Rattus norvegicus: one gene and its partners. The main gene of each other region encodes a partner of the protein of the gene in region 2 in a complex. Links are inferred from orthologs where the notes say so. Each region holds a gene or a part of one and is shown on either strand. Other genes may lie near its edges.

Evidence for each region.
Region 1: Ahi1 (region 2) and Tctn1 share a complex: the UniProt entries of both Homo sapiens proteins name them as parts of the tectonic-like complex. The link is inferred for Rattus norvegicus from reciprocal best matches to the Homo sapiens genes AHI1 and TCTN1.
Region 3: Ahi1 (region 2) and B9d1 share a complex: the UniProt entries of both Homo sapiens proteins name them as parts of the tectonic-like complex. The link is inferred for Rattus norvegicus from reciprocal best matches to the Homo sapiens genes AHI1 and B9D1.
Region 4: Ahi1 (region 2) and Tmem237 share a complex: the UniProt entries of both Homo sapiens proteins name them as parts of the tectonic-like complex. The link is inferred for Rattus norvegicus from reciprocal best matches to the Homo sapiens genes AHI1 and TMEM237.

Annotation. Positions count from the first base shown.
Region 1 is NC_086030.1:39,992,436-40,000,761, forward strand, and holds part of Tctn1 (tectonic-1 precursor), read left to right. Parts: intron 1-2,059; coding exon 2,060-2,194; intron 2,195-3,039; coding exon 3,040-3,165; intron 3,166-3,444; coding exon 3,445-3,530; intron 3,531-4,305; coding exon 4,306-4,446; intron 4,447-5,041; coding exon 5,042-5,204; intron 5,205-6,162; exon of another isoform or gene 6,163-7,135; intron 7,136-8,159; coding exon 8,160-8,279; intron 8,280-8,326. UniProt on the Homo sapiens protein: Component of the tectonic-like complex, a complex localized at the transition zone of primary cilia and acting as a barrier that prevents diffusion of transmembrane proteins between the cilia and plasma membranes.
Region 2 is NC_086019.1:17,589,557-17,597,882, forward strand, and holds part of Ahi1 (jouberin), read left to right. Parts: intron 1-859; coding exon 860-1,029; intron 1,030-1,463; coding exon 1,464-1,683; intron 1,684-3,303; coding exon 3,304-3,496; intron 3,497-3,713; coding exon 3,714-3,809; intron 3,810-6,994; coding exon 6,995-7,180; intron 7,181-8,326. UniProt on the Homo sapiens protein: Involved in vesicle trafficking and required for ciliogenesis, formation of primary non-motile cilium, and recruitment of RAB8A to the basal body of primary cilium.
Region 3 is NC_086028.1:46,689,148-46,696,522, forward strand, and holds the end of B9d1 (B9 domain-containing protein 1), read left to right. Parts: intron 1-1,019; coding exon of another isoform or gene 1,020-1,091; coding exon 1,092-1,188; intron 1,189-1,485; coding exon 1,486-1,548; intron 1,549-3,969; coding exon of another isoform or gene 3,970-4,023; coding exon 4,024-4,091; intron 4,092-4,318; coding exon 4,319-4,461; 3' UTR 4,462-4,596; downstream 4,597-7,375. UniProt on the Homo sapiens protein: Component of the tectonic-like complex, a complex localized at the transition zone of primary cilia and acting as a barrier that prevents diffusion of transmembrane proteins between the cilia and plasma membranes.
Region 4 is NC_086027.1:68,043,545-68,051,870, reverse strand, and holds part of Tmem237 (transmembrane protein 237), read left to right. Parts: intron 1-2,668; coding exon of another isoform or gene 2,669-2,730; coding exon 2,731-2,786; intron 2,787-3,539; coding exon 3,540-3,697; intron 3,698-6,854; coding exon 6,855-6,978; intron 6,979-7,206; coding exon 7,207-7,398; intron 7,399-8,201; coding exon of another isoform or gene 8,202-8,305; intron 8,306-8,326. UniProt on the Homo sapiens protein: Component of the transition zone in primary cilia. Required for ciliogenesis.

The DNA of each region.
Region 1 (8,326 bases), on a different chromosome or scaffold from region 2:
ACCCAGCTAAGTCACAGCCCAGGGTCCCCACATGACTCTGCTGAGGTGGCATAGAGAGTTGTGCATACTAGATTACCTTTATCCTGTCCCCCATGTCCCCACACTGTCCCCACACTGTTCCCTGTGCGAGTGAGTGATTTGCCCTGAGAGGGCAGTTGTAGTGGCCTTGGTCATAAGAGCAGACGTGTAAGGGCTGCATCTTTAGTTCTAAAGTGATGGCTTCAACACTTGCCAGTATGAATTATAAACAGTTCAGCAAAATTGAAGACAACATGAAGAGCTTTGGGCGCCTTCCCAAATATGGCTTCCAAGAATTAACCTGGAGAGTCCTCGTCAGAAGCATCCTGTCTGTCCTCAGGATGTTTTGTCACTCTTCTGGTGTCATGATCCAGGCTTCCTGACAGTATTTAGAAAGTTTGCAGGCTCGGTCCTCCCCGATCCTGCTGCTTAGCCAGCCACTGTGTGTGAGCTGCCTGGAAGGCAGGCTGCACCTCCTGAGGCAAGGGTTTGCTCTGGGAAGCTGGGCTTCGGCTGTGAACCTAAGACTGAGTGTAGAGGTCTGCACTGTGTTCCGGTGTTAAGCGTGTGTGTATGTGTGTGTGAGCGTGTGTGAGTGTGAGAGAGCGTGTGTGTGAGAGTGTGTGTGCATGCGTGTGTGTGTGAGTGTGTGTGCCTGTGTGTGAGTGTGGGAGAGTGTGTGTGTGTGTGCCTGTGTGTGAGTGTGGGAGAGTGTGTGTGTGTGTGTGTGTGTGTGTGTGCACACGCGTGCACAGTTGGTCATACAATGGAACTGTGTATTTGTAATGTGCCGGGCAGTTTCCCCCTTTGGTGCTGGGTTGTGAACCCTGTTCTCCCATATGCTGGCCCTTCTGTCAAAGTGACCAATGCTCTGGCTTTGGTCAGAGGTTGTGCCAGCGTCTCTGCAGTCTAACCCAGGAGGTTTTCATCACTGTAAGAACTGTAGTATCCCTTAGGTGTCACTCCGTGGGCTTTTCAGTTCTGGTCCCTGATAACCACTTTGGTCTCTGCATTGGAATATCCATATTGAGTGCAGTCTGCAGGATATATGGCCTTTGGTGTCTGCTTTCTGTTCTTTCTTTTTTAAGATTTATTTATTAATGTCTGTGAGCACACTGTAGCCATCTTCAGACACACCAGAAGAGGACATCAGATCCCATTACAGGTGGTTGTGAGCCACCATGTGGTTGCTGGGAATTGAACTCAGGACCTCTGGAAGAGCAGTCAGTGCTCTTAACTGCTGCACCATCTCTTTTAAAACATTTCTTTTAAAAACATTTCTTTTTATTATTTTTAAACTATATTCTGGGAGTGGGAGGTGGCATACCTTTAATCCCAGAACTTGGGAGGCAGAGAGAGGCAGATCTCTGAGTTCCAGGCCAGCCTGGTCTACAGAGTGAGTTTTAGGACTGCTGGGGTTACACACAGAAGCCCTGTCCTGAACCTGCCCCACTCCCCCGCACCCCCGGAGATGATTATGTGCATGTCTCTCTGTGTGTGCAGTCCCAGAAGAAGGCGTCAGGCCACTTAGAGCTGTACTTACAGGTGGTTATGAGCCCCTCAGCATGGTTCCAGGAACAGTGCTCTTAACCACTGAGCCATCTCTGCAGCCCCTGGTGTCTGATTTCTTCCACTTACTGTTTTCAAGACTCACCCTGCAGTAGCACGTGTGGGTATTTGGTTTTCATGTGTGAGTCATGTTCCTTGTGAAGATGGACACTTGACACTGGTCCAGTTCTCAGCTGATGGACGTCCGGGTTGTTTCCGTGTCTGTGATGAATAGGCTTCTTAGAATGCACCTTTGAACACGTGTGGTGTGTGTGTGTGTGTGTGTGTGTGTGTGTGTGTGTGCTCGGAAATACCTTCACTCTTGCAAAGGTGTGTGCACTGTGTGCACAGTGTGGGTAGCAGTGGGTGTCCTCTGCTTTGCATTTGCTGCCACTGAGTGTTCATTTTAGGCTCTGGGTGCTGGAACAGGGTCACCTGTGCTGTATGTCGGATGTGGCTGGTAGCCTCATGACCAAGATACTTTCCCTCTCAGGTCTCCATCAAGATCCAGTCTATAATGTATCGGTCTCTGAATCACACACTGACCCAGTTAGAAGGCCGTGGTATCCTGCGGCCATCTCTGGTCAGCACTGGGCAAGACAGACTCTGCAGCAACGTTGTTCTCCAGGTAGGCATCCAGTGTGTCTGCAGTCTTGCTCCAACTGCCTGACTCCAGCCTGCTGGCTGCAGGGGAACTTCACACCTTCCCCTGCTGGACTGCTGGTCGCTACCGTGCTGGTTCTCTTCTTGGTTGACCTCCAGCTGCTCCTGCTGCTCTGCTCTCCCGCCAGAGAGCAGGCCTTCACCTGTCTACATGATCCAATACCTTGCAGGAATACATCACATTTTTCTTGTCAGTGGTTAGGACGATGGCTCAGTGGAGTAAGAGTGTTTGTTCCACAAGGATGCAGACCTGAGGTCAAATCCCTAGCACCTATGTAAAAAGCCAAGCATGGCTACCACCATAACCCCAGCACTGGGGGACAGCAGATCCCCAAGAGTCAGCCAGCCTCACTGAAATAGAGCTTGTGGTTCAATGAAGGACTGTGTCTCCAGGCAGTAAGTCTGAGAGTTACAGAGGAAGACACCCAGTGTCACTCTCTGGCCTCTGGCCTCTGGCCTCTGCATGTGCAGGCATGGGTACACACTCTCTCACACTCGCTCACACTCTGCATGTGCAGGCATGGGTACACACTCTCTCACACTCAGTCACAGGCACCATACATACAATTTATCGCTACCACCATTTGATGGGACTCATTTCTTCTGCAGAAATAGGCTGTTCACATTGTGCTTGAGTCAGCTGATCTGAAATGTCAAAACCCTGGGTACAGAGAGGCTGAGGTGACTGTCCACTAGGATGCTAAGGGGATACGAGTGACATGATTGGACAGCAGACTTGGGGGCTGTGGTCTTTCTGTGGCTGCTTTGTTGGAGTTGGTAACATGGCTGCTGAGCCCCATTCTTCCCCAGGTAAAGTACAGTCTGCTATACACAGCCAGCGGCCAGATCCAGGAAGCCGGCCTCTCCCTCGTGCTGGGGACGCTCATCAGCACCGTGAGTCTCCTGCAGCAGAAGTTTGAGATTCACTTTATTCAGGTGAGTCTGAGAGGAAGCCTGGCTTCTGGGGGCAGCACTGACAGTGGAGAAGCATGACCCAGCTCCCAGCCTGAGCTGCAGTAATGTGTGGGGTTTGCCTGGAAGCCGGGTGCTGTCCCATGCCTTGCAGGCTCACAGAGCGCTGTCCTCCCACTCTCTGGGATCTATTTATACTTCAGAACAGAGGGAGCTGCTCTTCCAGATGTTACAGTGAGAAGCACTGTGTTGCCCCCGCTCTTACCTAAATAATGTTGCCCAGGTCATCACCTTGTCTTTCAGCATGGCACCAAGCCTGTTCCTCTCAGTGGCAACCCTGGTTACAGAGTGGGACTCCCGCTGGCCGCTGGCTTTCAGCCTCAGAAGGGGTATCCTTTTTTTCCGGGTCTGTGGAGAAGGTCACCTTCCCTGTCTGCATGGTGGGCCGTGCTTCCATTTGTTGCCAGAGACGCTGTGGGCGGCCTATGGGAAGGAGGTACCTGATTGGCCAGAGCTTCCACTGAAAGCGCGTTCCACTGAAATGTGGCACGGCTGGTTTAAATGGAGTCTGGTGCTTTGGGGAAGATGGCAGTGCATTTAAAAGGACAGCTGGAGGCAGAGGGTTCTTCTAATCTTTGATTCATTTATTCAGTTGTTTTTAAGAAAGTCTCTCACTGCGTACTGGAGCTCACTATGTAGGCCAGGGTGGCCTCAAACTCAGGAGGATGCCTTGCCTCCTGAGTGCTGAGGTCAAAGGTCACTCTTTGGCATCGCTTCCAATCTCAGGCTGGCTGTGGCGGTGACTTGAGGAGTCTCCTGTCTCAGCCCCCTCACCTTACACTTCATTTCGAAACAAGGTTCCAGCAAGTCGGTCACCCTGACTGGTCTCACGCTCACTTGTAGCTCAGGTGGTCCTCAAATGTGCCCCCCTCAGCCTTTTGAGGGGCTTGATTGTGGGCCTGGCCACCGCAGCTGGCTGGAACTAGTTTGGAAGATGAGCCAATCAAGAAAGAGATTTGCTGCCGTGTTACCCTTCCTGGTAATAGGCCAGGGCCTGGAGGAGCCTGCGTCTCACTCAGGTCTCACAGCATGCGTGAAGCCATTTTCTTCCTAGACAGTCTGACTGCTCTGGAAGTGTTGACTGTCCCTTAACAGTCTGTGAATGTCTGGGATTATTCAGACAACGAACAGACAAGGCCAGCTTACTATTCTTCGTAGCACAGGCAAGCAGGACTGCCTGGCCAGCCACGGGCAGCGGGCTCCTGTGCTGTTTGGCTACAATGTGCAGTCTGGCTGTCAGCTCAGGTGAGTGGCTGTGGCAGAGATCACACATCCTTCAGCTTTAGCCACATCGATAGCACAGGCGTCACAGTGGAGGCTGACCCTAACCCTGTGTAGCTCAGGGCAGACTCGAACTCCTGGCCCTCCTGCCTGAGCCTTCTGAGATCTGCAATGGCATTTATGGATCTCTGGGTCTGTGTATTTGTTGATGAATTCCTACTCTGTACAAACCCTTCTCTTTGCTCCTCTCATCTCCCTTCCCCTGTACCCTTCCCACATCTTTGCAGTGACTCTGTTGTTAGTTTGACTGCTAGATGTCAGATCAGTGTTTCTTCCTAAGAGTTCCACCGAACACTTTGCCACAGGATGCCAGGAGACATGAGAAAGCCACTGTGTTTCCTGGCTTCTGCCCATGGCACAATGTTCAGAGGGGGCAGGGGAGTGGGAGACAAGTTGGGAAGCTGCTTTGGGCTATCTCCATGACCAGGATGTGCAAAGGCAGGGCCATGTCAGCAATTGGAGGATCACATTTTTGGAGAGGGAGGAAGAAGTGTAGAGGCTGACATGTCTTGGAGGTTGTCAGCTCCTCCCTCTGTTGGCCTCTCTTTCCTTCTCAAAGGTTGACAGGCACCATCCCATGCGGGCTTCTGGCACAGAAGATGCAGGATCTGCTGAGAGGCCAGGCCTTCCCTGACTACGTGGCTGCGTTTGGGAACTCACGAGCCCAGGATGTGCAGGACTGGGTGCCTGTGCACTTTGTCACCCACTCCTCCAACACGAAGGTAAAGACTGAGAGGCTGCTGGCCCCCCTCGAGTGTGCCTTCCTCTGCCTGGTGGGCCACAGGAGGCTAGGGAGGCACCAGGGCGGGAGGGAGGCAGGCAGGCAGGTTTCAGGGAGGGGGAGGGAGGAAGAAGGCTACAACCAAGCTGGGTGGGTTTCCAGCTCGCTCCTCTTCACGTGCCTTGATGAGTAGTTTTCAAGCGTCTGTTTGCTTCCCTGTGATGTGGAAACTGAATGGACCAGGACAGCACAGGACCCCAAGACCAAGTTCTCAGCACAGAGGAGATGTATTTGCCCCAGAGGGACAGAGGGCAAGGAATAAGAGACAAAAACAGGAGATAGAGGATGAGGGGGAAGGAGAAAGTAAGAAGGGATGGGGGTTAGGGGTGTGATAATGCCCTGCAGGGACAAAGAACTGCCTCTGGATAGAAAGGAGACAGACAAGGCCCGTAGGCAAATAGAAATTTATAAGGGATGAAATGTTTTATTTTAACTGGGTGTGTTAATCAGGGCAGCCAAAGGGGGCTTTACTTTGATAGCTGGACCTTGGTAGTCAGCCTCAGGAGGAGGAGGAAGTGGCCAAATGTGGGCACAGGCCTTGGGGCCAGCTTTGGGGATGTGATCTAATGATTTAACAAGGCAAGGCCTGCCAGAGCCATGTTGGCCAGGCCCGGGCCTACCAGAGCCCTCCAGAAACAATGTCACTGACCACACAGGGTTATTTGTTTGGTGTTGGCGGACACAGTGGTCACTCCATAAACTGGGAGCACAAGTGACCACCATAGTCGAATATGGTTGGGAAATCAATGTTACATCTAAATCTGGAACTTTTTAGTGCTAACATGTTACTCATCATATGGTAGCTGTGGTCAAAACTGGGGCTCCCTGAAATATCTCTAGCCCTCCTGTGTGAGGTGGACATGAACCGTGAATTTCCTGTCCATCTTCAACTTTCTCAGTCCCCAGGACACCAGGCCCTCCAGAGTTTCCTGCAGTCCTCCAGGATGGTCAGCTCAGAGGGCAGTGATGCAGTAAGCCTTCCTCGGGCATTTGGGGACAGGAGGGACAGGAGATGTGGCCATGCCATGCCCTCTGTGCTGTAATGGCAGTCCACCCACACGGGAGTTCTTTCCATTCCAAAGTTCCCCAAAGAGTTTAATGGAAGCTGACATCCTACAAATAGCTTCCTGGTCACACGTGACTCTTCTGCCCACCTCCTTCTCTTGTCTTAACAGCAGAGTGTGGGCTGTCCCCAGCGGAGGTGTGCACTCCATTCTCCCCTAATTACCCAGCTATTTCTTGTCACAGCCGCTTCAGGCCTCTCAGTATCTGCTTTGTGTATTTACAAGGAGCAGCTCAGTGGGGAGAGTAACCTCACCAGACCTCCATTCCAAGAATCACTTAACCCCTGCTCAGCCTCAGTGAGCCTGGGGCATGGCTCCTAGCTTCCTGACACTGGGTAAAGACACCAGGCATTAGTGCCAGAGGAAGCAGGCCCACTGTACCTGCCACAGCTCCTCACCTAGCGACAGGATATTGGCAAGCCAGTTCAGTGACAAGGTTCCTAAAAGGCACTTGTAAGCTAAAGAATCCTGTGAATGCTTTTGGCAGTCTCCAGTTTAGCAGGTCTGCTAGCTTTCTAAGCCAGGACATAATTTAGAAAAATATACATGGAGATTGAAACATCCAGGCAAGTACTGTAGCTTAGGGGCCCTCTGCCCACTGCAGCTCCTGCAGTCCCAGTTCTCAGCAAGAGGAGGGTCCGGAGGCCCCGAGTCCATCTACCTCAGTGAGGATGCTGCACTGTTACTGTTGTTTGTTGATTGAGACAGGGTCTCTGTAGTCCTGGCTGTCCTGGAACTCGCTGTGTGGACCAGGCTGGCGTTGAACTCAAGTGTCTGCTGCCTCTGCCTCCGAGTGCTGGGAATAAAGGTGAGCACCATGACTGCTCTGCACTGTCACCTTTGGGAACATAGATACCATAGAGCAGGCTGGCTTCAATCCCAGAGATCTGCCTGCTTCTGCCTCCCCAGTACTGGAGGAAAGGCATGTGAAACTGAGCTGGGTTTTGTTTTTTGTTTTGTTTTGTTTTTGGTTTTTTTTGTTTTGTTTTGTTTTTGTTTTTTTTAAAGATTTAAAAAAAAAGTGTATGGGGGCTGGAGAGAAGGCTCAGTGGTTAGAGCACTGACTGCTCTTCTGGAGGTCCTGAGTTCAAATCCCAGCAACCACATGGTGGCTCCCAACCATTTGTAATGAGATCTGATGTCCTCTTCTGGTGTGTCTGGAGACAGCAACAGTGTACTCACATACATAAAATCTTTTATTAAAAAAAAGTGTATGAGTACACGTATATATATGCATGGGCATAGTTCCTGCAGAGGCTAGAGGAGTGTGTCGTGTCTCCGAGAACTGGAGTTACAGGTGGTTTTGAGCTGTCAGGTGGGTGTGGGGACTCAACCTAAGTAACCAGTGCTCAACTGCAGAGCCATCTCTCCACCCCAGGATGTATCTTCGTTGCTAGATGGTGAAATTAGATGACAGAATGCTGGTGTTTCCTGTTTTATTCTAACATGCGATACAAGCAAGTTCACCTTCCCACTGTTAAATTCTCTCTTCCCTGCTGACCCCTAGCCAGTGTCCAGAAACATCTCTGAGGTGGATGAGGACTGGTCGAGGCCCTAAAGGTCCCACCACTGGGTAGTGGAACTTCACATTTGCACAGTGACTCTGGCTTTTGGGACTAGGAGGGGCTGGTGAAACGGCATTTGTAGCACTAGATGCTTTAGTAACTCCAGCTCTGTGAAGTCGCTTGTACCTGAACTTGTGTGGCCCGTTTACCCTAGTGTTCTGAACATTCTGTAATTGGGAGACATTTTCTAATTAAAACATTCAGCTGCAGAGTTGGTCTGACTTGTGGTTGTGGGATATTCTGGTTTAATCTAGTTTTCTTTTGCAGGGCTCTTGCCAGCTTCCTGTGGCTTTGGGTATAGAAGTAAAATGGACTAAGTATGGGTCCCTGCTGAACCCCCAGGCCAGGATAGTAAATGTCACTGCCCAGCTCATCTCAATTCCAGAGGTAGGCCTGCTGGCAACGGTCTCCATGGGCTGGGGTATGGCCCAATC
Region 2 (8,326 bases):
TAGTATTCAGGGATAACTCCCAATAACTACCATGAAGTATTTATCTAATCTTTTTATTTCCCAATGTTTCTTTTTGAAAGATAAATGAATATGATAGAAGTTAATTTTTTATTATTTAAAGGCATATTTTTTTACTTCATAAATCATGAACAAACTTTAATAGGATAGCTTCTGTTCCAGGCTGCTACCTCTTACTGTTTGCATGTGGTACAAATTTTATTTTTATCAAGAATTCTGAAGGGCTGGGGATTTAGCTCAGTGGTAGAGCGCTTACCTAGGAAGCGCAAGGCCCTGGGTTCGGTCCCCAGCTCCGAAAAAAAGAACCAAAAAAAAAAAAAAAAAAAGAATTCTGAACCTGCCCCTAAACAACAAAAGCAATGCACTTTTATCTATGTATGGCTGAAACTTCTTAGAAGAAACTTTGAAAAGTCTTTTACCTTTTAAATCATTTAGAAATCTATTCATTAACATTTAGTTAGCAGCAGGCTGGGATGCTTTCGAATTCTATACGATGTAAGTCCATAACCATAAACTACTATTTTATTTTCCGAGAGTGTGATAGTTCACAGCGGCGGCCAGCTGCAGATGTCTCCGTGCGTGAGCCTGCTCAGAATGAGGCTGTTCCGTGCAGTTCATAGTTTTGTTTTTGTTGGCTCCTAAGATCCATAACTCTTGATCAGATATAAAATATTATCTATGACTCCTAGTTAACAGTCATTTTATTCTATAAAAATATCAGATAGTGGCACTTTTACAGGCGCGTATGTAATATCATCGCTTCTGTCCACCACCCACCTACTAATCATGAATGACAGTTGCAGATGTCCTTTGCAGTGATTCATTCTTGCGCTATGCTCAGTCCCTCAGATGTCTGTGACAGTGCAGCTGAAGGTGAGCAAAAGAAAGAAGGCGCCCCTGAGGGGTCTCACCACAGGGAGGGAGGATGCTCAACAGAACAGAATGCAGATGCCAGTGTACCAGAGAACACAAAGCCCAAACCCAAGAAGATGAAGAAGAAGCCTAAAGCAGGTTTGTTCTACAAATTAAATAAAATTATGTGCCTTTGTAGGATAACGGGACTCTAGAAACTTTAGTCCTTAAAACTGAAGGATATAATTTAAAATAAGTCAAGATACACTGTGTATTTTAATTCATAAGACTAAGGTGTTCATTTGTTAATAATGAATTATTCCCAATTATATGTGGGTATATATAGTGAACTTACAGTTTTTTATTTAGCTGTACAAGGAAATGATCTGCAGTGCCTTGTGGCATAGAAATTTTTATTTTCAACCACCAATTTTAGAATTGCACGTGGTTACCTTGTAAATGAAAGCTAGTAATGGCCTTTCTTTTCCCTTGAAGTTCTTCTACCAACAGAGTAAGACAGTCGCTTCTAAGATTAACTATCTGTAACCCCTAAGTGTGAGAACGGTTACTCCTGACTTTTCTTCCTGCTTTAGTTTCAGAGGATAATGAAGAGACTAATGGAGATGGTGTTCATGAGATAACAGGCCGAGACAGCCCAGTTCATCCCAAGTGTTTGCTCGATGACGACCTCGTCATGGGAGTCTACATTCACCGAACCGATCGGCTTAAATCTGACTTTATGATTTCTCACCCAATGGTAAAGATCCATGTGGTTGATGAACACACTGGCCAGTACGTCAAGAAAGATGACAGGTCAGGTGATTTTTAAAATTATGCCATCTTTAGGTTGAAACTGTGCAGTAGAATTTTTTTTTTTTTTTTTTGCTGCCCTTCATGACTGAAAGTAGGCAGAGAACTGTGGACTGATGTCAGAAAATAGTCCTATGGTTGTAGGTGTCCTCAGCTAGATCAGTAAGCTCTGTACAAGAAATGGAGGGAATGCACCATCTTAAGTATAGTCTGTCAAGCTAACTAATTAGCTCTTAAATTTGCATGGTAAATTTTTTAAGTGTACTCATCGTTAGCCTCCTCCTTTTCATTGAAATTAGTGTGTTACATGGGCCTGGGGTGCTGCAAATGTATCTTGAACATGTTTTCCCCTAAGGTTGTATCTAGAGAGAAGCCATATTTGAATCCATATACATAGGATATGATGTATATAATAAGAGAACACACGTACATAGGTTTAAAAGGCAATAAAATAAGTTGTTATTGTAAAGGTAACTTTTATTTGTCAGATGTAATTGTCATCTCAGAGACTTACTACTGAATAAGCTCACCCTTTCTAGTACTTTCTAAACTCTGGATGGCTGTTTCAATTTAGCTGTTCTGGCTTAAACTCCTCTCCAAAATGACTTATTCAACTGGGCTTCTGTCAGATTCTGACTGTTGCTCTGCTTGGCCTCAAACTGATTCTAGCAATCTGTTCTAATCCTCTGGTTCCTTCTCATTCTCTGGCCCATTCTGTCTTCACATGTGTCTAGCTTGTTCTCTCTGCAACCTGTCTCTAAAACTGTCCCAGTAAAAACTGCCTCTGCTGACCTGTACAGAACTGCATGAACTCAGCACCAAGGAGCTCAACTCTACTGCCTGCACTCACTGACTGACTGAACTCAACTGTATGGACCAGAACTGACTCCCACTGACTGACCCTTCTCCCTGTGCTCCTCTCAAATAGCCTCTCTTTGCTGTGCTGTTCTTGTTGAGAGTTGGGCATATCCTATTCTGTAAAATCTCTCTGACTCATCATTTGTCTGTGCCTCAGTTGGACGTCATTGTTTGGGATTGAAGGTGTGTACTAAGGGCATGTCTGCATTCCAGCCAGCTCACACAGACCTGCAGGTCACTGCACGTGACTAGAGCGGTTAATTTGCTGGATTAACATTTCTCTATACATTATACTAGATTATACTATTCAAAAAAGTATTTGCTTACAAGGATGTTGGGAGAAGAACACTAAGATTATTACAAAAAAGAGAACACATCTGCTTAGTTGTGTTAGTACAAAGAAAATATGACAGTGGAAAAGTTCTTTCTACATTATTATTTGGACTTATTATGCATCTTTTCATAAGCTCATTTAAACTTCTGAGGGAGTTGCTATACTTTAGCTCTGTACATTAAAGGTCAATTATACTTTTCACTTTCTACTTTTATAATAAATTATTATTATCTGACCCGAAGAACCAAAACAGAATGCCAGATTATAATAAAACACCATTACTTCTAATGTTTTATAAAGTGTGTCATTTTTAGATTTAAAGAACATTGTTTTTGCCTTTGTGCCATTATAGTTATTATTTCTGCCTTTGTGGCCTATGTAATTCCCCCTCAGTGTTCTCTCTAAAATATGGAAACTTTGTCTTTGAACAGTGAGCGTCCCGTCTCATCTTACTATGAGAAAGACAACGTGGACTATATTCTCCCTATTATGACGCAGCCGTACGACTTTAAAAAGCTAAAGTCAAGGCTTCCAGAGTGGGAGGAACAAGTTATTTTTAATGAAAATTTTCCCTATTTGCTTCGAGAGTTTGATGAGTGCCCAAAAGTCATTCTGTTCTTTGAGGTATGAATTTAAAAATAATTTTAGTAAATATTTAAGCATACAAGTTTAGGTTGTTGATATTAATAGTTTTGTTATGTGGGAATGTGAGAATTTAATACCAAGAATTTAATGTTGTAGCATGCTCTGTGGGTACCAGATGATAAGATATCATTAGAGACTATTACAATTTAGGCAGTCTGTCATTCTGTAAAATAATTTTTTAAAAATATATCTACAGATTCTTGACTTTTTAAGCATGGATGAAATCAAGAATAACTCTGAGTTTCAAAACCAAGAATGTGGCTTTCGGAAAATTGCCTGGGCATTTCTTAAGGTACATTTTCACCTGTTCTTTTGAACATATTTAAAATAATATCTTCTATATTTGATTGCAGATTTCCACCAAGTCGTTTCAGTCTCTAAGAGTTGGTTAGCGCAACTCTTAGTAAAGCTATTAAAAGTCTGAAATTCTTATTGATTACCCAGTGTGTACTATTTATACTTTTTGACTCTGGGGATGCTATACTCAAAGGCACATGCATCCTACCATCTTGTGTTCAATTTGTGAGAGATTCATTCAGCCCTTTCAGTGTGTGGGCCATTGTTCAGTCAGCAGCCCTGAATCCCTTGACTTCAGAACATAAATGTTGGAAGATGTGAGGGTCCGAGCTGTACTAAGTTTTAAAGAGCACTGCAAATAATAATAGTGTTTACACAAAGCAGTGTTTTAGGGGCTGCTCGTTTATCCTGCGTTACAGTTTGAGCAGACCTGCTGTGTGGGCCTAAGCTACAGTTAGAACACCACAGATGCCACAGCTTTTTATTTTTTACTTTTCAAGATCATGTGGGTTTTAATTCATCCATATTGAGCCACCGTCAGAAGAAATTAATTTATCTCTATCTCCAGAGAGGGGAGCAGGTTCTGTGTTTTCCATTTTTAATACTGTGTGTCTTTTCCTTCATCGCACTATAAGCTTTACAAAGTTACCAATAATCTTGTTTGCATTGATTTTTGAACAGTTTTAGGTTTTTATTTTATTTATGTGCATAATCACACACACACACACACACACACACACTCAGAGGTATGCATGCACCTACACACAGATGTTGTATTAGATGTATTACATAATTCCCTTGGGCTTTCACAAGGTCACTGTGTCCCAGCACACAGAGGTACACAAAGGGGTGAATGTCTACTGAAGGACTTCCTGACATGAATGGAAAGCAATTGAGATAAACTTAGAACTTGAATAAAATGGCATGAAACAAGTTGATATGTAAGTGTCTCAGAATTTGTGCTGGTGGATTCAGGACTATCCTGCTTTTCAGTGATCCATTAAACATATTTAATTTTCAGTTACGCCTTTGGTCTCAGGTTATTTGAATTCTTGTAGAATATGCTTGTGTCTGTTTTAACCGTGCAGTGATGAAGCTTACGTAGAGCTAGCCGTGTTGTAGTTTACAGTCATGATGGCATGCTCATTAGGGCTTTCTTAGCATGAGTTGTTTACTTGGCTAAGCAATACCCCAGTATAAACTACTTTGTCTAGATAATATTAAAACAACTTTAAAAAGTACGATTCGGGAGCTGGGGAATCCTTAAAGTCTGAGGTGTGCTCTGGGCAATAGTAAAGGCCTGTGCAGAGTGTGCAGAGTTCATATTTAAAGGTGAGTGCTGCTTTACTCCTTCTAAACTGTGTTTCCCCTCGAGCACAGTATCACTCCCTGAGCCTCTAAGTCTGTGGTCTCCTCATCCTTCCCAAAGTTGTAGGGAAACACGCTACACTTGGCTGTGTCTGCTTCCTTGCTGATACGTCTTGATCAGGCCACGATCTGGATTTTGCCTCTACCACGAAAACTTCTCCAGCTGAATCACGAACGTTTCTCTGTATGCCACATGAGAACATTTGTTACTTGTTCCCATGTCAAACATACATGCATTTAACACGCTGTTCCTTTGATGTCCCTGCTGCCACTGCTTTCTTGGCAGCACTCTCATGTGCTTTGGGTACCCCATTCCTTCAGGATTGGTCCCTACCTCCTAGTGTAATTCCAACTCACAGTTTCTTCTCTGGTCACTGTTCTTAAACCACTTCTGTTTCCTGTTCCTCGTAATTGGCAGACCCGGCAAATCTCTAACCCCTCTCCTGTTTCACATCACCTGCACAGTCTCTCGAGCTTATCACCATAGCAACACTGGCAGCTTTGCTGCAGAGTAAGTGCAATTAGGCATAACGGAAAACTCACTTGTATGGTTGCACCAAGCACGCTTGAGGACTTGACAGCCCCATGTGCTCACTCACTGTAGCGCATCCCATCGTCACAGGCCTCTGGGACAGCTCTACACTGAGTCTTCCTTGGATTTTTTTACCCTGACTTTCCAAGTTGTGTCAGTCAACAGCAGCTACTGCGTGTCCTACACTTAATGGCCGTGCTGCTACTTCTGGCGGTGCCACTTCCTACTCCAAATTCACAGTGTACACAGTGCTCCTGCACGCTCCCTCTCCCCCTCCCTCCCTCCTTCCCTCCCTCCCTCCTTCCCTCCCTCCCCCCTACCCTCTCTCTCTCTCCTCGGCAGTATTTCCTCTTCATTCATTAAGTAGGAAAAGAAAGCTTTATCTGAACTGCTGAGATTTTAACCTTTTTCCTAAGAATCTCCATCTATCTGCTTATCTTAGTTTTTATTTAATTGGCTTTTTCAATAGACCATTCAAAGAAGGTAGACTAAAATATTGAAAAATGAAGTGGACAATTTGAATTACCTTATCTTAAAATGATTTTGCATCTTAAAAAAATCTAAAACATAATTTTAACCATTAAAACTATTAATATAGTCCTGGAGTTCCAGCTACTGGGGAGACTAAAGCAGGGTATTCACAAGTTCAAGACCTCCTTGAGTTCCCGAGTTCCAGACCAGCCTGGCCAGGTTCCTTTCAAATGGAAAGGAAAAGGAGGATAGGGACATATCTTTCATACACTTGTGGAGCATATGGGAGACCGCAGTGGGTTTAATCTTCAGTCCTGCTGAGGAAAATAACGGCCACGTGGAAAACATGTTTTGTTTTGTTTTTTTTGGGGGGGGGAGCTGGGGACCGAACCCAGGGCCTTGCGCTTGCTAGGCAAGCACTCTACCACTGAGCTAAATCCCCAACCCGGAAAACATGTTTGTGTGAAGTGCTGTGTGCTTTACTCTTTCTTTACCATCATTAGTTCAGGCAAGCATGTGTCATCTGCTGTTCTGTAACATATACTTCCGCTACTGTGACGTAAAGGCTTGCACGGCGGTCTGCAGGCGCTGTGTGCTGAAGACTGCTTTTAGGAAATGTTCTCAAAGTCATTTGTCAAAATGAGCCCAAAGTACCTGAGCCCTAGGCTGATCTGCCTTTTTCTTCATAAGCCTAATGAATTTCAACCTTGTTTTAATCTTTTAAAAGCAAGCTTGTGACTCTGCTGTTGCTTTCTTGGATGTGTGTGTTTTCAGAAAAGTTAATTATTTACACAAATTCTTACTTTAAGCTCCTGGGAGCCAATGGAAATGCAAACATCAACTCAAAACTTCGTCTGCAGCTCTACTACCCACCTACTAAGCCTCGATCCCAGCCAAATGTTGTTGAGGTTTTTGAGTGGTGGTCCAAGTGTCCAAGGAATCGTTACCCATCAACACTGTATGTAACCGTACGAGGGTTGAAAGTCCCGGACTGCGTAAGTTGTATTCCATTATAATATAATATATATATATATGCATGTATGCATGTATCTCCTCAACTAAAATTAAGGATGGCATAATATATTTTCCATATTTAAAAATCTAAGTTCTCAGAATTATTTTAACAGCTTTTTAGATGCCTACAAAGACTATACATTAAGTCTATAACAGTTGATAGTTAGATGAACTTTAAGTTTTAAAAAGTAAATTTCATTGTTTAAAAAAACTCTCCTAGCATACTTTCATATTTTGTAATAAAAATTAGAAGATGAAAAGTTGGTACTGGGGAGCCTTTTATTATAAAGGGCAAAAATTAAAGTGTTTTAGGCCTTCAGCCAGGCTGTGTGTGTCACAACTACTCAGCCTTGAGGTGAGAGAGTAGCTGTGGAGACAATAAGACACAATGCCTTCATGTGTCTTTATTTGTAACAAGTCGTAAAACAGATTTGTGTTGGTCTAAATGGAGTTAAATAAAATATATCAGGGGATAGACTTTTTTAATCTCAGATTTTTTTATATTAGTTTTGTGATTGTTTTTAAGCCAGCAATATCATGTTATATCAGAGGCATAGTGTAGAACTAGATAGGTATTCATGAGGAGGAAGACACAGGGACAGAGCTATCAAAACCCTTTTGTGCATCCGGGTGTGGGGACAAGCCTGTCACCCCAGCATGTGGGAAGTAGCAGAATCGGGAACACAAAAGCCACTTCATACACAGCAAGGTTGAGGCGGCCTGACCTACACGCAACTCTATCCCAAAAGTAACACAGATAACACAATCAAAGGGAGTAAGTAAAGCCATTCGGCTCTGGGAGTCTGCCACGTTTCCTCCAAATGTTAAAGCTTTGAGATTACAGAAGCATAGTTGAAATAGCTTTTATTTGTTTAATCTACAAATGAAAACAAGATCTGGCTTGCATTTCAAAAAGGTTTCTATACCATTTGTTTCAGTATTTTCATTTCGTTTTGTTTTGTTTTATCTAAGACAGGATTCCACTATGTAGGTCTAGCTATTCTGTAACTCACTCTGTAGACCAGACAAGGCTGGCCTCAAACTCACAGAGATCCCCCTGCCTCTGTTTCCTGAGTGCTAGGATTAAAGGTGTATGCCACCACAGCAGGCTCTGTGGCAGTATTTTA
Region 3 (7,375 bases), on a different chromosome or scaffold from region 2:
CTTTCCCCTCATCCTATAGCCACCCTTCTAATCCTGAGCCCTTACAAAGCTAGGAAAACGAGCAAAACAATGGAGGCCGCCAGGACAGGTTACGGTTGTTCTGTAAGGTTAGCAAGAGTGTAGTCCAGTGAAGTTCAGAGAACACTGTTGGGGGAAGCAGCCATTGAGAGTACAGCGTACTGTAGTACTAACCAGAGAACTGCCTGCCTGAGTCCTTTACTGAGCACATACCCAACAGAGACCAGCACTCAGAGGTGAGTACAGTGTGACAAGAGCTTATGTGTGACTGACCTGAGACTTACTGCAACAGTTCTCAGAGGAACAGCCCATGTGCCCACAATCACCAACAGTTACAGTTAATGGGGATGGCCAGGTATGTAGCACTGAGAATGACAAGGCTGAACAGGAACTATCTGAGTAACTCCCAGGTCACCTTTGGTGGCAGAGTGAGAGGCACAGCTTTTTTTATCCTTCACTGAGCACCACCTGTGTGGTGCCATTCTAAGGTTTTTAGACACAAGAAAGATCATGAGAGAAAAAGTTGGTCTAAGGCCATTCAACGGTAACTACAGAGCCAGCTTCCAGGCCTCACCTGTCCTTTGGAGTAGAAGATAGTAGTGGGTCTGGCTGGGTGTGAACAGGAAGCATTTTTAAACGTCAGTATGTTAAGGAAAAAGTACCTGAAAGGCCATGATTTCTTCAGGGTGTCAGAGTTGGTAAGGCCACACAAATCAGCAAGGAAGGAGGGGCTCAGGGTGGGCTCAGGGTTGGCACAGGGCTTCCATAGGACTTCCTGTGTCTACTCAATGTTCTAGCTCTCCTTCCCAACTGCCAGGCCACCAGCAGAGATACAGAAAGTAGTGGGGGAACACAAGCCCTGGGTATGGACTGGGTTCCTAGGGCTCTTTTTTTCTGGAGCTGGGGACCGAACCCAGGGTCTTGCACTTGCTAGGCAAGCGCTCTACCACTGAGCTAAATCCCTAACCCCTAGCCATCACTCTCTTAAATGTCTGTTCCAGCTTTCAACTAGGCACACCAGCTACTACTCCCCTTCCCTGATTTTCCTACATGTCAACCTTGTCCTTTCCAAGGGCCACAAATTGTACTCAGCGTGTATGGACCGGACGTGTTTGGGAATGACGTGGTCCGAGGCTATGGAGCAGTGCATGTGCCCTTCTCTCCTGGACGGTAGGTGCCCATGCTTGACTTGGCCCCTGGCCTGCAATTTGCCCCTTACCGAGCAGGCAAACCTTGAAAATAGTAGTTTTAGACTCAGACTCTCTGGCCACTGCTCCTTCCTCTGACTTGGGCAAGTTACATTCAGGGACCTGGGTGGCCTGGCACCTTGGAAAAGACCCATGTAAGTAGGATATATGTACCGCTGGAGAGGGACAGTAGTGAGTGTAGAAGGAAGAAAGTCCAGTGTGGAGCCACACACTTTGATCTGTTCCTCAGCACATCTCTGTATGAAAACACTTGTTTCAGGCACAAAAGGACCATCCCCATGTTTGTGCCAGAGTCTACATCTACACTACAGAAGTTCACAAGGTAGGTCTTCTGCTTGCCCTTGATCTAATGGATAACTGATTGGCCAGCACCTTCTACTAAAGCCTTCATGCATTGGCACCACAGGGAGGCCATTTTGGGTAGGAACAAGAGCAGCAGCCATGCGGAATCTGGGAAGCATGTTCACACATAGGGCCCTTCGTCCTCTTTACAGGCCCTGAGGAAGACTTAAGAGTTAGGAGCAGCCAGTGGCCAGGATATGACAGTGAGAAGGTCCCATACAACAGGACAGAAACCTTGGAGAGACGCCTTAGAGGAAAGGCCTTCTACCCTTTGCCACATCCAAGTAGGAATTTGCTAGACCAGCTCTGCTGTATGCTATCTCTGCTCCCCTCCTGGTTGAAAAGGATGAGAAGAAAATGAAGGGCCACTGGGTTCTCAGGCAGCAGCCAATGAGAAGCTTCTTGCAAGCTAGTATCAGGCAAAGGGACCTGGGCAGAGTCCTGATAGGAAGAGAAAGCGAGCTCAACCAAGGAAGTCATCTGAAGTCTATACAAGGAAGGGACAACATTCACCATTGGCTCCAGCCCTAAGATTCAGATCCCCATTGCCACAAAATACTCTCTAGGAGGAGCTCTCAAGAAAGAAAGGGCTTCTTAGCTGTTCCTGGGCTAGGATCACCTGGGAGAGATACCACCAACCTTCGGGACTGAAGTAGTAGGTCAGGTCATGATAGTGGGCTTAGATAGAAGCCATAGAAGGGAACTAGACCCTAGTTTTCATAGGGCTGAAGAAAAAAAGGTTCTGGGCTTCAAGAAAGACTTATGGCTGGCTGCCTTGACAGTACCTTGCCTTAACCTATCATGATAACCCAGGATAGTTTCTACCTTGTAGTATTCTTAGTAATACCTATATAGACCCTCTTCACAAATCCGGTCACCTTCTCGGTGTCTCTGGTCCTCCCTCAGTATTCCTAAAGTTGTTACTCAGACCACTGCAGTATCTCCAATCCAGTCCTTCCAGAGTCTTAGGGTGTTGTTGCTGCTGGAAGCACTGTGGCTTACCCTCTGCATTTGGGAGTCTCTTGAACCAGGATGGCAGTGGCCTCCCTTGTTTGCTTCCCTTTTATCAGCCCTTGGATTTTTGAGCCCACGAGGTTCTGCTCTGCTTCAGCCCTTGCCTGGAACATTGTTCTGTCTCTTCTCAAATGGAAAAAGATTTTTTTCACTTAAATGTAGAGAGAACTTTGTGGAACAACTCCACCAGCATTCCGGTTTGCCTGAGGAGGTAGGACTTTGTCTACTTTCTGGGTAGTTTGGAGCAGGCTTTCTGGTAACCATGACTGTAGAAGAGAACTGGAAATATGGCCAGGGTGCCTACATGCCAGGATTGCTCTGAGACTCCTCATAGTACTGAGTGCAGTTAGAACTTTTATGTTGGGAAACAGAAGAGAGACACCCACTCATCTAGTTTCTAGAATGCTTAGCTGTAGGAATCCTGGCTTCTCTACTTAGGTTGTCTGAACTCTTCTCCTACGGCCCCCTCAGGAACTCCTACCCAGCAGTTTAATAGGACTGTGATGTCTAGCCTAGAAGTCCAGAGATCTAGCCATAACCTCAGCATAGCTGTAGGTTGTGGGTGTGTAGTCATGGTTACAAGAATGCCTGCTGCAAACTGTCCAGGTAGAAGACGAAGTCCTACCTCTTCAGGCAAACAGGAATGCTGGAGTTGTTCCACAAAGCCTGAGTTAGTCCTAGCTGCTGTGCTTGGGCTAATTCTGTATGCTCCAAGCCTATACAAAATGCAGGGTCTGTATCCATATATCATAGAGCTGTGGGTGGGGCCCAGGATCTGAAGTTTGGGTGCAATAGGATTGTGAATTACAAGACATTTGTAGGAAGTGCTTCTGAGTTTGCCAGCCAGGGCCTGGGGGCTGAATGGTACCCTTGGCTAGGTGAGACTTTTAAAAGTCAGATGACCTGTCGCTATCCACAGGCTTCCAGGGCCAGATCCTCCCTAGAATGGGTAATGTTTCATACAGCAGGTGATAGGGTGCCTTCACTTCACAGTCTCATGAGGTAGGTGCTATTATTACCCTATACTAGATAAACAGGTTCAGTGGTGGGGTGTGGCTTGTCCTGGATCCCACATAAGGAGACAAAGCTTAGGAAGCTGGATCTGGCCCTTCTTGGGGTTAGGCTTTCTCTCCTGGTTGTACTATTGGCCCTGCATCTCTCTCAACATTCACCCTTGGCTTAAAACCACAAAAGACTTGGCCAGGCAGGCTAGACACCCCTTGGAGCACCTGGCACTATTAGAATTGTTGGCAATGGACCCCTAACAGGGGACATCTCCTGGCACCCCGCTTGGCCTATCAAATAGGTAGGAGGTTGCCCTGGCACCTAGAGGAGGGGTTGCAGGAGAAATGCTACAACCTCTTAAGCCTGGAACACTCTTGTTCAGTGTCTGAAGCCAGCAAGTCCCAAGTGCTCCTCACTGGTGTTTTCCTGTTCTCAGCTGGTTCATGGGACGTCGGCCAGAGTACACTGACCCCAAGGTGGTGGCCCAGGGTGAAGGTCGGGAAGGTAAGACTGATGCTTCAGGTAACTTAAGGGTTGAGATGGGTCCCCAATCCCTAGGAGCCCAGAAAACACATGTGTGAAAGTCAAGGAGCTTCCAGACAACTGGGACCTAGTGATATACAAGACACCCAAAGAACTTTCTAGACCACCACCTACCTACACAAGGGCTTCAGCAGGTGGTTTCTGTCTGTCCCAGTCAAACCCAGCTAATGCTCAGCTTCTGTCCCCAGTGACCCGTGTTCGCTCTCAGGGATTTGTTACCCTCCTCTTCAATGTGGTGACCAAGGACATGAAGAAGCTGGGCTATGATACTGGGCCTGTGGACACACAAGGAGTCCTGAGTCCCAGCCTGCCACAGGGAAACCCACAATAAAAATGTCAGCTTTTCTCTCCACCACTGTGGACCAAATACCTTACAGCCCACACACAACCAAGGACATACCAACCTGGCTGAGAAGTGGGGGAGATAAAGATAGTTTTATATAATAAAGTGTCACTTTTTTTTCAGAGATTCTGGGGCCTGCATTTCTTGATTTCTTCATTAGCACCTCTCTAACAGAAACAGGCCTGGCGCCCAACAGGATGTACCCAGTAGAATGTCATGCTGGAGTGGAGGCCTCTCCAGGACTGCTGAGCAGTTTGCACAGAGCTGACCCCCCCTTTCAGTGTCTTCTTCAGCATCAGGAAGTTAGTCACTTGCTCCATGGCTGGCACTGTGACTATTTACCGTATTGTTAGCAGACTCCCAGGGCCCTGAGCGGCACCTGCCTTCCACCATGCATTCCTGTGCCCTACTTCCATCCTGATCTTCGTGTGCTGCCTGAGGATAGGGAAAGAACCATCCCAGGCAGGAGACTACCACCAGTGCGGGTTCCGGGCAAGCGCCGTAGCCCAACACCCTGACATCTGTGGGCCCCTAGTTTTCTCCACGCATGCTGGTAGTGTGACACATGAATTAACATGTTGTCAAACTACTCCACAACTGCTGGTCTCACCAAAGCTTGCTGTGGTGCTGTCTTCTCCGCTGTTCTTGTGAAGCACCTCTTCCACGCCCTCCACCCTTGCAGAAGGTATAGACCTCACAGTTCAGCAACTTCATCACCCAAGGTCTCTCCCTCAGTCCAAAACTCCCTTCTACACCTGATGTCCTTTCTGTACACTAGCCCTCATGGCTGTCAAGTCAAGGCACAGAAATATACCATTTCCCAAGAGGCTCTTGCATGTCTGCCAGTCACGGTGAGAAACCACACAGAGGAGAGCTTTGGAGCCCAGTGACTGGAGCATATCTGGAATGTAGGATTATACTAGACATGTGACCATTAAGACACATGACACCTAGGTTTATCGTTTACTTACTGTCACAGCTGTATCTACCAGACTGTTCACCTTTTCCTAATCAAACCATAAGACTACATTTCCTAGGCCTCTTCTGTCACACTGTTAAACTTATGAAATGCTGGAAGGTTGTTCACCACATAGAAAGCCTGACCCCTTAAACCTCCAGAGTTGCCCTTACTCCTGTCCATGGAGCCCTTGGACATCCACACTGAAGGCAGCAGCATGAGAGAATAGTGTGGTGTCAGATTCCAGCCAGAAGGGGTGCTTCAAGGATACCGGTGCTGGACATTTTGTGGGAGTAAATTCTATTATGTTCTATCCTGAAGAGAAAAAAGGGAGGCAATGGGACTTAGTCCTGTATGAACTCTTGACAAAGAACTGTTATAAGGAAAGAGCTTATGGTGTGAGTGAAAATCAGAAGGTATGGCACACAGCACAGACTGCAGTGGGGAGTAGGCAGGAGTGAAGAACACACACTCAACAGCACAGAGCCACTGGCAGAGCTCAAGGAAGGTCCCATGGCTGAGCCAACAGCTCCAGGGAGGACAGCAGCATATGCCAGAAAAGCAAAGTTTGGGGAAAAAAACAGGCCAGTCTGTAAAATAAGAAAGGAACAGAAACAAAACTAAAGAATATTAACATCGTAAGATTAGGAAAGGACTGGACAGACAACTCAGCAGAGAGCATGGCTGTTCTTCTATTAGACCAGGATTTGACTTAAGTCCTGGCAACCATATGGTAGTTCATAGCTGTCAGTCACACCAGTCTGAGGGCATCCAATGGCATCTTCTGGCCTCCAAGAGTGGCAGACATGCACATAGCTTAGACATATATTCAAACAAAACACTCATACACAATAAAATTTAAAAAAAAAAAAGGCTAGGTGAGAGGACTCTAAAACCCAAATATAAGACTTAAAATTAGGGGTTGGGGATTTAGCTCAGTGGTAGAGCGCTTGCCTAGCAAGCGCAAGGCCCTGGGTTTGGTCCCCAGCTCTGGGGGGGGGGGGGGGGGGAAGACTTAAAATTAAAACAAAACACCCTAGTTTTTTTAATAAAGAACAAATGTAGAGCCAATTATGTGGCATGCCCCTTTAATTCCAGTACTTGGGAGGCGGAAGCAGGCAGATCTCTGGGAGTTCAAGGCCAGCCTGGTCTACAAAGCGAGTTCCAAGACAGCTAGTGCTGTACATGGAGAAAGTCTGTGTCAAACCAAACACAATAAAAGCAGTATGTGTCAATGGAACTTACAAAAGCAAAGGGCTCACAGACTGCTGAGGTTCTGAGGGAAGCAGTCTCCTGTCAGGGTCTCTGTTGCTTAATAAACACCATGACCAAAAGCAAGCTGGAGAGGAAAGGGCTTAGTGGCTTAGAATTCTACCTTGCAGACCATCACTGAAATAGGTCTGGGCCACTGAGGGGCACTGCTTATTGGCTTGTTCCTCGTGGCTTGCTCAGCCTGCTTTGTTACAGCAATCAGAACCATCAGCCCAGGGATGGCACCATCTACAATGAGCTGAGCATTCACCTATTGATTACCAAAATGCCCTACCAGCCTGCCCAATCCTATGAAGACATTTTCTTAATTGAAGCTTCCTCATATTCCAATGTCTCTAGCTTGTGACAGAAAAGCTGACGTAAAATTAACCAGCACAAAACCACAGGATCTATGAGCTTGGTACTCAGAACAAGTCTTGGCTGGTAATACCTACGTGCAGGCAAAAAGCTGGCTCCCAGCTGCTCACTCAAAGGATGGGCCTCCTGCAGAGCTGAGCCTGAGGCCATCCCAGACCCTTTCTGGTACTGGAGGCCTCACAGAGCCCCAGTACTGTGTATTTATGGTAGTGTCGCTCACCCTGCTACACTGCTGGCTACCTCGAGAAGCCTGCCTCCACAAGCCCTCAATTTTTGTTTTGTTCTGTTTTTTTTTTTTTTTTTTTTTTTTTTTTT
Region 4 (8,326 bases), on a different chromosome or scaffold from region 2:
AACAATCAACATTTATCCTTTTCATGGGTCTAAAGGATAGAAGTTCAAAATCAAGGTGTTCCGAGGCTGGACTGCTTCCAGAGGCTCTGAGGAAGGCGCCTTCCTTGCCCCTTGCAGCCTCTGGCAGGATGGCCAATCCTCAGCATCCTTGACTGTGGACACATTATGCCAATCTCTGCCCATCTCACATGTTTCATTTTGCCCGTTTCCCTGATTCTCTTCATCGAAGACACCAGCCATTGGATTTAGGGTCCATCCTTCCCCAGCATGACCTTATCTTAACTTGTTTATGTCTGCAAATGCTCTGTTTACACATAAAGTTATGCTGGCAGGTCCTGGATGTCTGACTTGCATGTGTGTCAGGGGCATGATTCAATCTAGACCGTAGGTATAGGCACACATGAGCACAGTGAAGACAGTGGAGAACAGTGGTGCTAACTGACTAGATTGTCTTTTAACAAGGAAGAACAAAATATGATTTTAATTTTCTTCATTTAAGAACATATATTAGTTTTATGGTAATTAGAAAGGGACAGTGGACTGACTTTATTAATATTAAACAAAGGAGAGGAAGGAGTAACTGTGAGGTTAGCTGGTCACTGTTATCACAGATTAGCCCTTGAGGAGAATTTAACAGTGTTTCTCCTGACTAATTAATGACTGTGCTCTTAGAGAGCAGCAGGTACTGACTGATTAAAGTTACAGGAGCAGAGTGGCAGGACTTAGGACTGAGGAGAACACAGGCCAGTTTTGGGAAGCATTGAAGTGGGTGTCACAGTACCTGGGCGCTGGAAGAGCAGAAGCAGTTGGAAGGAGACCCAGGTGACTCCCACGGGAGAGCCTACCCTCCGTTCGACGTAGGAATCACCAGCATGAATGTAGGTTGATGACAATAAAGTTTTGATCATTTGGTCAGGATAAGAATTTGAAAATTGAGATGATACCAATTCCTAGACTGTGAAGAATAGCTGCATAAAACTGGCCTAGCCATTTTCAGAACATTCTTGACCCAGCTGAGCGGCGGCACGTGCCTTTAGGCTCACCACTTTGGAGGCTGAGGCAGAAGGTCTATGAGTTCCAGGTCAGTGTGGACAAAGTGTCTCAAAAAGACAAAACACAAAAGAAAAGAAAAACCAAACCAACAAAAAGCCCAAACTGCAAAACAAGCCGGAGAAGAATCAGACCAAAGGAGATCTGCGTTCCGGGGAGCCTGCTCTAGCCATTCTAAGTGCACCAGCTTTGCCGGTCTGGTGGTATAGTATTTTTCTCTTTTCTTCTGAAGCAGGGTCTTGTGTAACCCACACTTGCCGTGATGTGTAGCTGAGGATTGAACTTGTGAGCCTCCTCTTTCCTCACCACTTTCCAGCTGCTAGGATTATGGTGACCACGCCTGTTTTTCTTTTTTCTCCAGTGCTGGGGACTGAACCTTGTGCACTAGGCGAGCACTGTACCATCTGAGCTATGTCTGTTGTCTGTTGCTCTGACTTCTAGGAGTTTAAAGCTCTGGTTCTTGTTTTGCTTTACCCAGAATGACCGTTGTGTACTGTTCTGCCTATATTGTCTTTCAGGCCTGGGCTGCATTTTAGTCAAACGTTTGAAGGGTTGAGGCTGTCTCGGGATCTAGTGTTTTCAGGTGGGAAGACTAGCTAATGGGTAGGTGGCCTGTCCACTTGTTTGAACTTAATGACTCCACTGGGTGCAGGATAGCAGAGGTCATATGACTGAGATCCCTGCACTCTCAGAAAGCCTGTTGTCTGTGGCTTTGGGCAATTTGGATGACGAACGGTTCCCCACACTCACGCAAACCTTTACTAACCTGTAAGGGCAGCTCACTGTGCCTTCGCACGTGATGACGAACACCTGCTTCCCTTCTGGGACTCTGGGATTTTGGTAAGTGTAGGTCTGTGTGACTGACGTTGAGTCTCTGATGAGCTTCCTTGTCGGATCTGCCTGCCCTGTGTTGGCATAACCTGCTGCTGGGATTCGTGGCACGGTTTGCTCTGGCGAAGGACTGTTGTCACTGCGCTGTTTCACCTGGGTTCGCTCCACTTTTCCTTTTGCTGATTTTGCTTTTGTTCTTTTGCTGTAATAAACTAACCACGAGTGTAATGACATCTGAGTCCCGTGATTCCTGCCAACAAGTAGCTAAACCTGGAGGTACTCCGAACTTGGAGGCTAGTGTTTGGTTTCATTTGTTTGAGGCAGGGTGTTACTATGTGGTCCTTGCCAGCCTAGACTTTAACTATGTAGTCCAGGCTAGTCTCAAATTGACAGAGATCTGCCTGTCTCCACTTTCTGAATACTAGGATTAAAAACATGCACCACCACACCAGCCAAATTTTTCAGATAAAAAAATTTACACTTCTATATTTTAAATGTAGAATTTCAAGTTTTAATGTCAACCAGTACAGAAAAAAATTAAGAAATCTAATCCCAGTGGGCATGTTGGCACATGCCTTTAGCGGGCAGTTCTCTGAGTTTAAGGTTAACCTGGTCTACATAACAAATTCCAGGGAAGCTGAGACGACATAGTCAGACTCCGTCTCAAAGAACACTGCCCTTGGCGAAAGAATTGGTCCAACCAAAAGTCTGACAGTTCTCTTGTCTCGAAAAAGGTGTGTACTGTTTCATTTCTACCTTGTAATCATGTGACACATCTTACTTTCAGAGTTGGAGACTTCCTTCACTGAAAAGCCATCCAGTCCGTCTTTACTACGGAATGAAAACGGCATGGACGTGGAGCCTCGTGAGGAAGTGGTTATTCCAAAACCTCGAAGGAAGGCGAAGTAATAGTTTATTCATCCATGGAGCTCTTCCTCAGAGCTGGTGCTGTGTTTAGTTCAAGTCCTCGCTGGGTCTCATCACACCATGTGTTGTGTCAGGATAAGCAGTAGTACAGAAATGAACCGATGCTATGAGGAATTTGAAAAGAATAGAACACTAAAGAAAAGAGAAGAATAATGTATGGAACTAGCCCAAGGAGTCATCTCGAAGAAAGCACAATCAGAGAGAATATTTTCATATAAGTTACAAAACTCGTCATTAAGGATAAATACTGTGATTCATTTCTCCATGTTAATGGATTTGAAGTAGGAAATAAGCCTAACCATTGTGTTTTAATATAGGAAATTAACTATCTTATATAGTTATTCCATTATTTATTATAAATAATAACATATCATTATAATCATATAAAATACAACAGCATACTTAAAATATACTGGAAGTTACATAACATTAATGTTTGTACATAAAAATTACTGCAAACAATAACCAGTCACGTTTAGAATTTTATAATTTGAAGTCAGGAGAAATCTCGTCCAGTGAGTGTCCATTTTCCAAATGAGAAGTCCGAGGTTCACAGGAACGTGTGCAGTTAATAACAGATTTATAATTAGATTTATTAATTAGATTTATTAACAGCATATTTCTTTCACTCCAAGTTCAGGATTCTGTCTATTATATTCATGGGTAATTTCTTGTGGGTCTTTAAAAATTCAAGAATTATTTATTGTTTCAAAGATTTCCCCTGATTTCAGGAAAATGCAGCCAGCGGAACCACAGTATGCCAGCGAGCTAGGGGTAGAAGATGAAGACGTAATTACGGATGAGCAGAGCACTCTAGAACACCACTCTAGGTTCACCGCACCCACCGGAGTCAGCCAGCCTGTTGGCAAAATATTTGTGGAAAAAAGCCGTAAGTAACTCCTTGTTTTGGAATACAATTGCTCTGAATATTGTCAAGGGATATCTTTAACTTGGTAATTATAGTTCTGATGACCTGAATGAAGGAAATAATAAAGAAATATGAATGAAAATTGACAGACAAATCTAGTCATTATACTATTGTTTTTTTTCCAACTAGATTTTGTTTTTAATTGAAAATAGATTATTTTTTCCTATACAGTATATTCTGATTTCAGTTTCCCTACCCCCAACTCAGGTGTTACCCTGAAGTAATTACCATCTGCTTCTTTTGAGACAGGACCCACTCACTGGGCTAAAAATGTACAGCAATTTTAGGTAGGCTGTCAGGACCCAAGTCAGGTCTCTGTGCTTGTAAGACAAGGCCATCCCCCCGACTCCCTCTTTTTTTAGAGCAATGTGACCAGTTATTTTATTCTTGTTTCCTTTGGTATAAAAACTTTTCTGTTTGACTGACCAATAAAGAAAACCACAAATGCTTTTTTTTGGCTCTCCAGGAAAGTTTTTTTTTTTTTTGAGAAAATTAATTATTCTTTCATCCTTTAAAAATATCTGAGCAATGGGTTTTGTGAAGGTAATTGAGATGGCGTCAGCCTGCTTCCTGACCCATTTCTGGATTGCAACACCTAAAGAAGAAAGTGACCACAGTGCATATGTGCGTTGCCCCAGGCCGACTCCTGAGTCTCAAGAGAGCCTTTTGAAGTTCTCTTCCCTGCCAGCACAGGAGGCTGTGCTGCACACTCGGGCATCTCTTCTCAAGAATTGTAAAGAATTTTTCAAATAATAGCTTGCCTTCATAGTGTAAACATTTAAAATAATTTTTAAAAAAATATTTATTTTAAAAACTTATTTATTTTTATTTTATGTGTTTGAGTGTTTTGCCTCTGTGTTCTAAATGTGTGTCTTGTGCCTACAAAGGTCAGAAGAAGGCACCTAATCTTTAGAATTAGAACTACAGTGGCTGTAAGCCACCATGTGGGTGCTGGGAACAGAACCCAGGTCCTCTGCAGGAACAGCAAGTACTCTGAACTTCTCAGCCATTTCTCTAGTCCCCAACCTTTTCATCTTAATATTCCTAAAGTATTTAAATTACTTCTATAGACTGTCTTGCTTTTAAATTTAATTCTGAGTTGAAAGTTTATTGTTGATTTAAATATAGTTGATCTTAAAATTGTTATTATTTTAATGTTGGCCTTGGGTTAAGAGGAAAGTTATCGGCATTGCATTATTATTTTAGAAGATGAAAAACAACTAAAGAAATGTTCAACATCCTTAGTCATCAGGGAAATGCAAATCAAAACAACCCTGAGATTCCACCTCACACCAGTTAGAATGGCTAAGATAAAAAACTCAGGGGACAGCAAATGCTGGTGAGGATGTGGAGAAAGAGGAACACTCCTCCATTGTTGGTGGGATTGCAGACTGGTAAAACCATTCTGGAAATCAGTCTGGAGGTTCCTCAGAAAATTGGACATTACACTACCTGAGGTCCCAGCTATCTAACATTCCTGGGCATATACTCAAAAGATGCTCCAACATACAATAAGGACACATGTTCCACTATGTTCATAGCAGCCTTATTTATAATAGCCAGAAGCTAGAAAGAACCCAGATGCCCTTCAACAGAGGAATGGATACAGAAAATGTTGTACTTCTACATTATGGAGTACTAATCAGCTATCAAAAACAATGACTTCATAAAACTCATAGGCAAATGGATGGAAATAGAAAAATATCATCCTGAGTGAGGTAACCCAGTCACAAAAAAGCACACATGGTATGTACTCACTGATAAGTGGCTATTAGCCCCAAAACTCAGATTACCCAAGATACAATCCACAAACCACATGATGCTCAAGAAGGATGACCAAAATGTGGATGCTTCAGTCCTTTTTAGAAGGTGGAACAAAAATATTCATAGGAGGAGATATGGAGACTGAAGAAAGGCCATTCAGAGCCTGCCCAACCTGGGGATCCATCCCATATACATATAGCTACTAAACCCAGACGAAATTGTTGATGCCAAGAAATGCATGCTGACAGAAACCTGATAGAGTTGTCTCCTGAGAGGCTCTGCCAACCATTGAACTGAGAATGCGGTCCCCATTGGAGGAGTTAGAGAAAGGATTGAAGGAGCTGAAGGGGCTTACAACCCCATAAGAATAATAATACCAACCAACCAGAGCTCCTAGGGACTAAACCGCTACCCAAAGAGTACACATGGACAGAGGATAGCCTTGTCAGGCACCAATGGGAGGAGAAGCCCTTGGTCCTGCCAAGACTGGACACCCCCCACCCCCATTGTGTAGGGGAATGTCAGGTCGGGGAGGAGGGAAGGGGTGGGTGGATGGGTGGGGGAACACCCTCATAGTAGAAGGGGGAAGAGGAATGGGATAGGGGATTTATGGATGGGAAACCAGGAAAGGGGTTACATTTGAAATGTAAATAAAAAATAGCATATATATATATGATATATATATGATATATATATTTAAAAAAAGATGAATAAATTGGGGCTAGAGAGATGGCTCAGCAGTTAAGAGTACCAACTGCTTCTGGAGGTCCTGAGTTCAATTCCCAGCAACCAAATGGTGGTTCACAACCATCTGATGGAATCTGATGCCTCTTCTGAAGAAAGAGACTGTATACTCACATACATAAAATAAATAACTAAATCTTAAAAATAAAGATGAAGAAATTACATATCTAAGTAGTCAAAGGTGAAAGAAAAGGAAAGTTACAGTCCAGTGTAATTTTTAGAATAAAAAAAATAGCAAATTCAACCCCTTCTATTTATTTATTTATTTATTTATTTATTTATTTATTTATTTAGGTTTTGAGCACATGTGCTTGTAGGTGTGAGGTAGACGAGTGACATTCGTGTGAGGTCAGGACAACTTTGTGGGGCCAGTTCCGTCCTGCTGCCTCTGTGGGTCTAGGGCCAAGCTTAGGTCAGCAGACTTGATCTGAGGCAGCACCTTTACTCCACTCTGCAGGCTCCTGGTCTGTTTTCTAAGATTTTATTTTATTCCAATCACTTACATGTGCATGCTCGTGGAGGCCAAGGCGCCAGATCCTCCTGGACCTGCAGTTCAGGCGCTTGCTTGTTAGCCTTCAGTGATTGTGTTCTGTCTGCTCCGCACTCCCAGGGAGATTTCAGGCGGCGGACCGTTCGGAGTTGATAAAGACCACAGAAAACGTAGATGTGTCAATGGACATGAAGCCATCTTGGACTACCCGCGATGTGGCACTTTCCGTGCACCGAGCTTTCAGGTGGCTGCCTTTTGTTGGTGTTCATTAAGCAAATGTTAATTGGATAGCATCGTTTAAAAGAAAAATGTTTGGCTGTTCCAACTTCGTAAACAATTTAAAATGGAATGTAGATTTATTCTTGTAGACATTCCATTTGTGCTTTTCAACTTTATTTTATTTGAGGAGGTTTTAAAAATACCTTAGCTTTTTATTTTAGTGGCTAATACATAACTAAAATCTTCTGTGCAGGATGATCGGCCTCTTCTCTCACGGCTTCTTGGCTGGCTGTGCTGTGTGGAATATTGTTGTGATCTGTGTTCTCGCGGGAGACCAGTTCTCTAATGTCTCCAACCTTCTGCAGCAGTACAAGCCCTTGGCATATCCCTTCCAGAGCCTTCTTTACTTGCTTTTGGCTCTAAGTACAGTTTCAGCATTTGACAGGTAAGGCTGTTGTGAATGCGGGCTCTTCTAACCTTCCTTCAGGAAGAAATAGTAAGCAATATATGTCACTATGGCTTTTCAAGGTTGAATGACCCTTTTTTAAACCAGTCTTTGGATTAGTATGGCCTTGTCTTCATTTCACTGTATTCATAGAGATCTTGTTTCCAAATGAAGTCACTTTCTTAAGGACTAAGGTTAGACCTTCACCACTTATTTTGGAGAACACAGGTCAACCCATTTTTAAAAATATCAGCAGGGCTGGAGAGATGGCTCGGTGGGTAAAGATGCCTGCTGCTAAACCTGCTGTCCTAAGTTTGCTACCCAAGAGCCACGCTGTGGAAGGAGACAACCAACTCCTACCTTCACATAGCTCCTGTGTGTGTGAGTGCATGGGCGTGTACCCACCTGCCCATACAAACTAAATAAAATCACACCCCCCTCAAAAAAACCCAAACAAACCCTGCCTATTGTCATGACTGGCCTGTTTTTGTGATAAAACACTATGCAAAAACAGTTTTGGGAGAAACAGGTTTGTTTTACCACATATTGTATGGTCCCCTGTCAGGGGAACACACAGCTAGAACTCACCAAGGCCAGAACCTGGAGTTGTGAACAGAGACCTGGTACTGGTTTCTTCTCCATGGCTTGCTCAGCCTTCTTTTTATACAACCCAGTACACCTGCCCAGCGACGGGCCTGCCCCAGCGATGGTGTCGCCCAGAGTGAGCCGGGCCCTCCCACAGTCTTGATTTGTTCCTTGGTTGTTTTTTTTTGTTTGTTTGTTTTATTTTGTTTTTGAGACAGGATTTCTCTGAGTAGCCTGGGCTTCCTGGACTCCCTCTGTACACTAGGCTGGCCCCAAACTGACAGACCCACCCGCCTCTGCTTTCCGAGGACTTGGATTAAAGGTGTGCACCACCCCGGCCCTG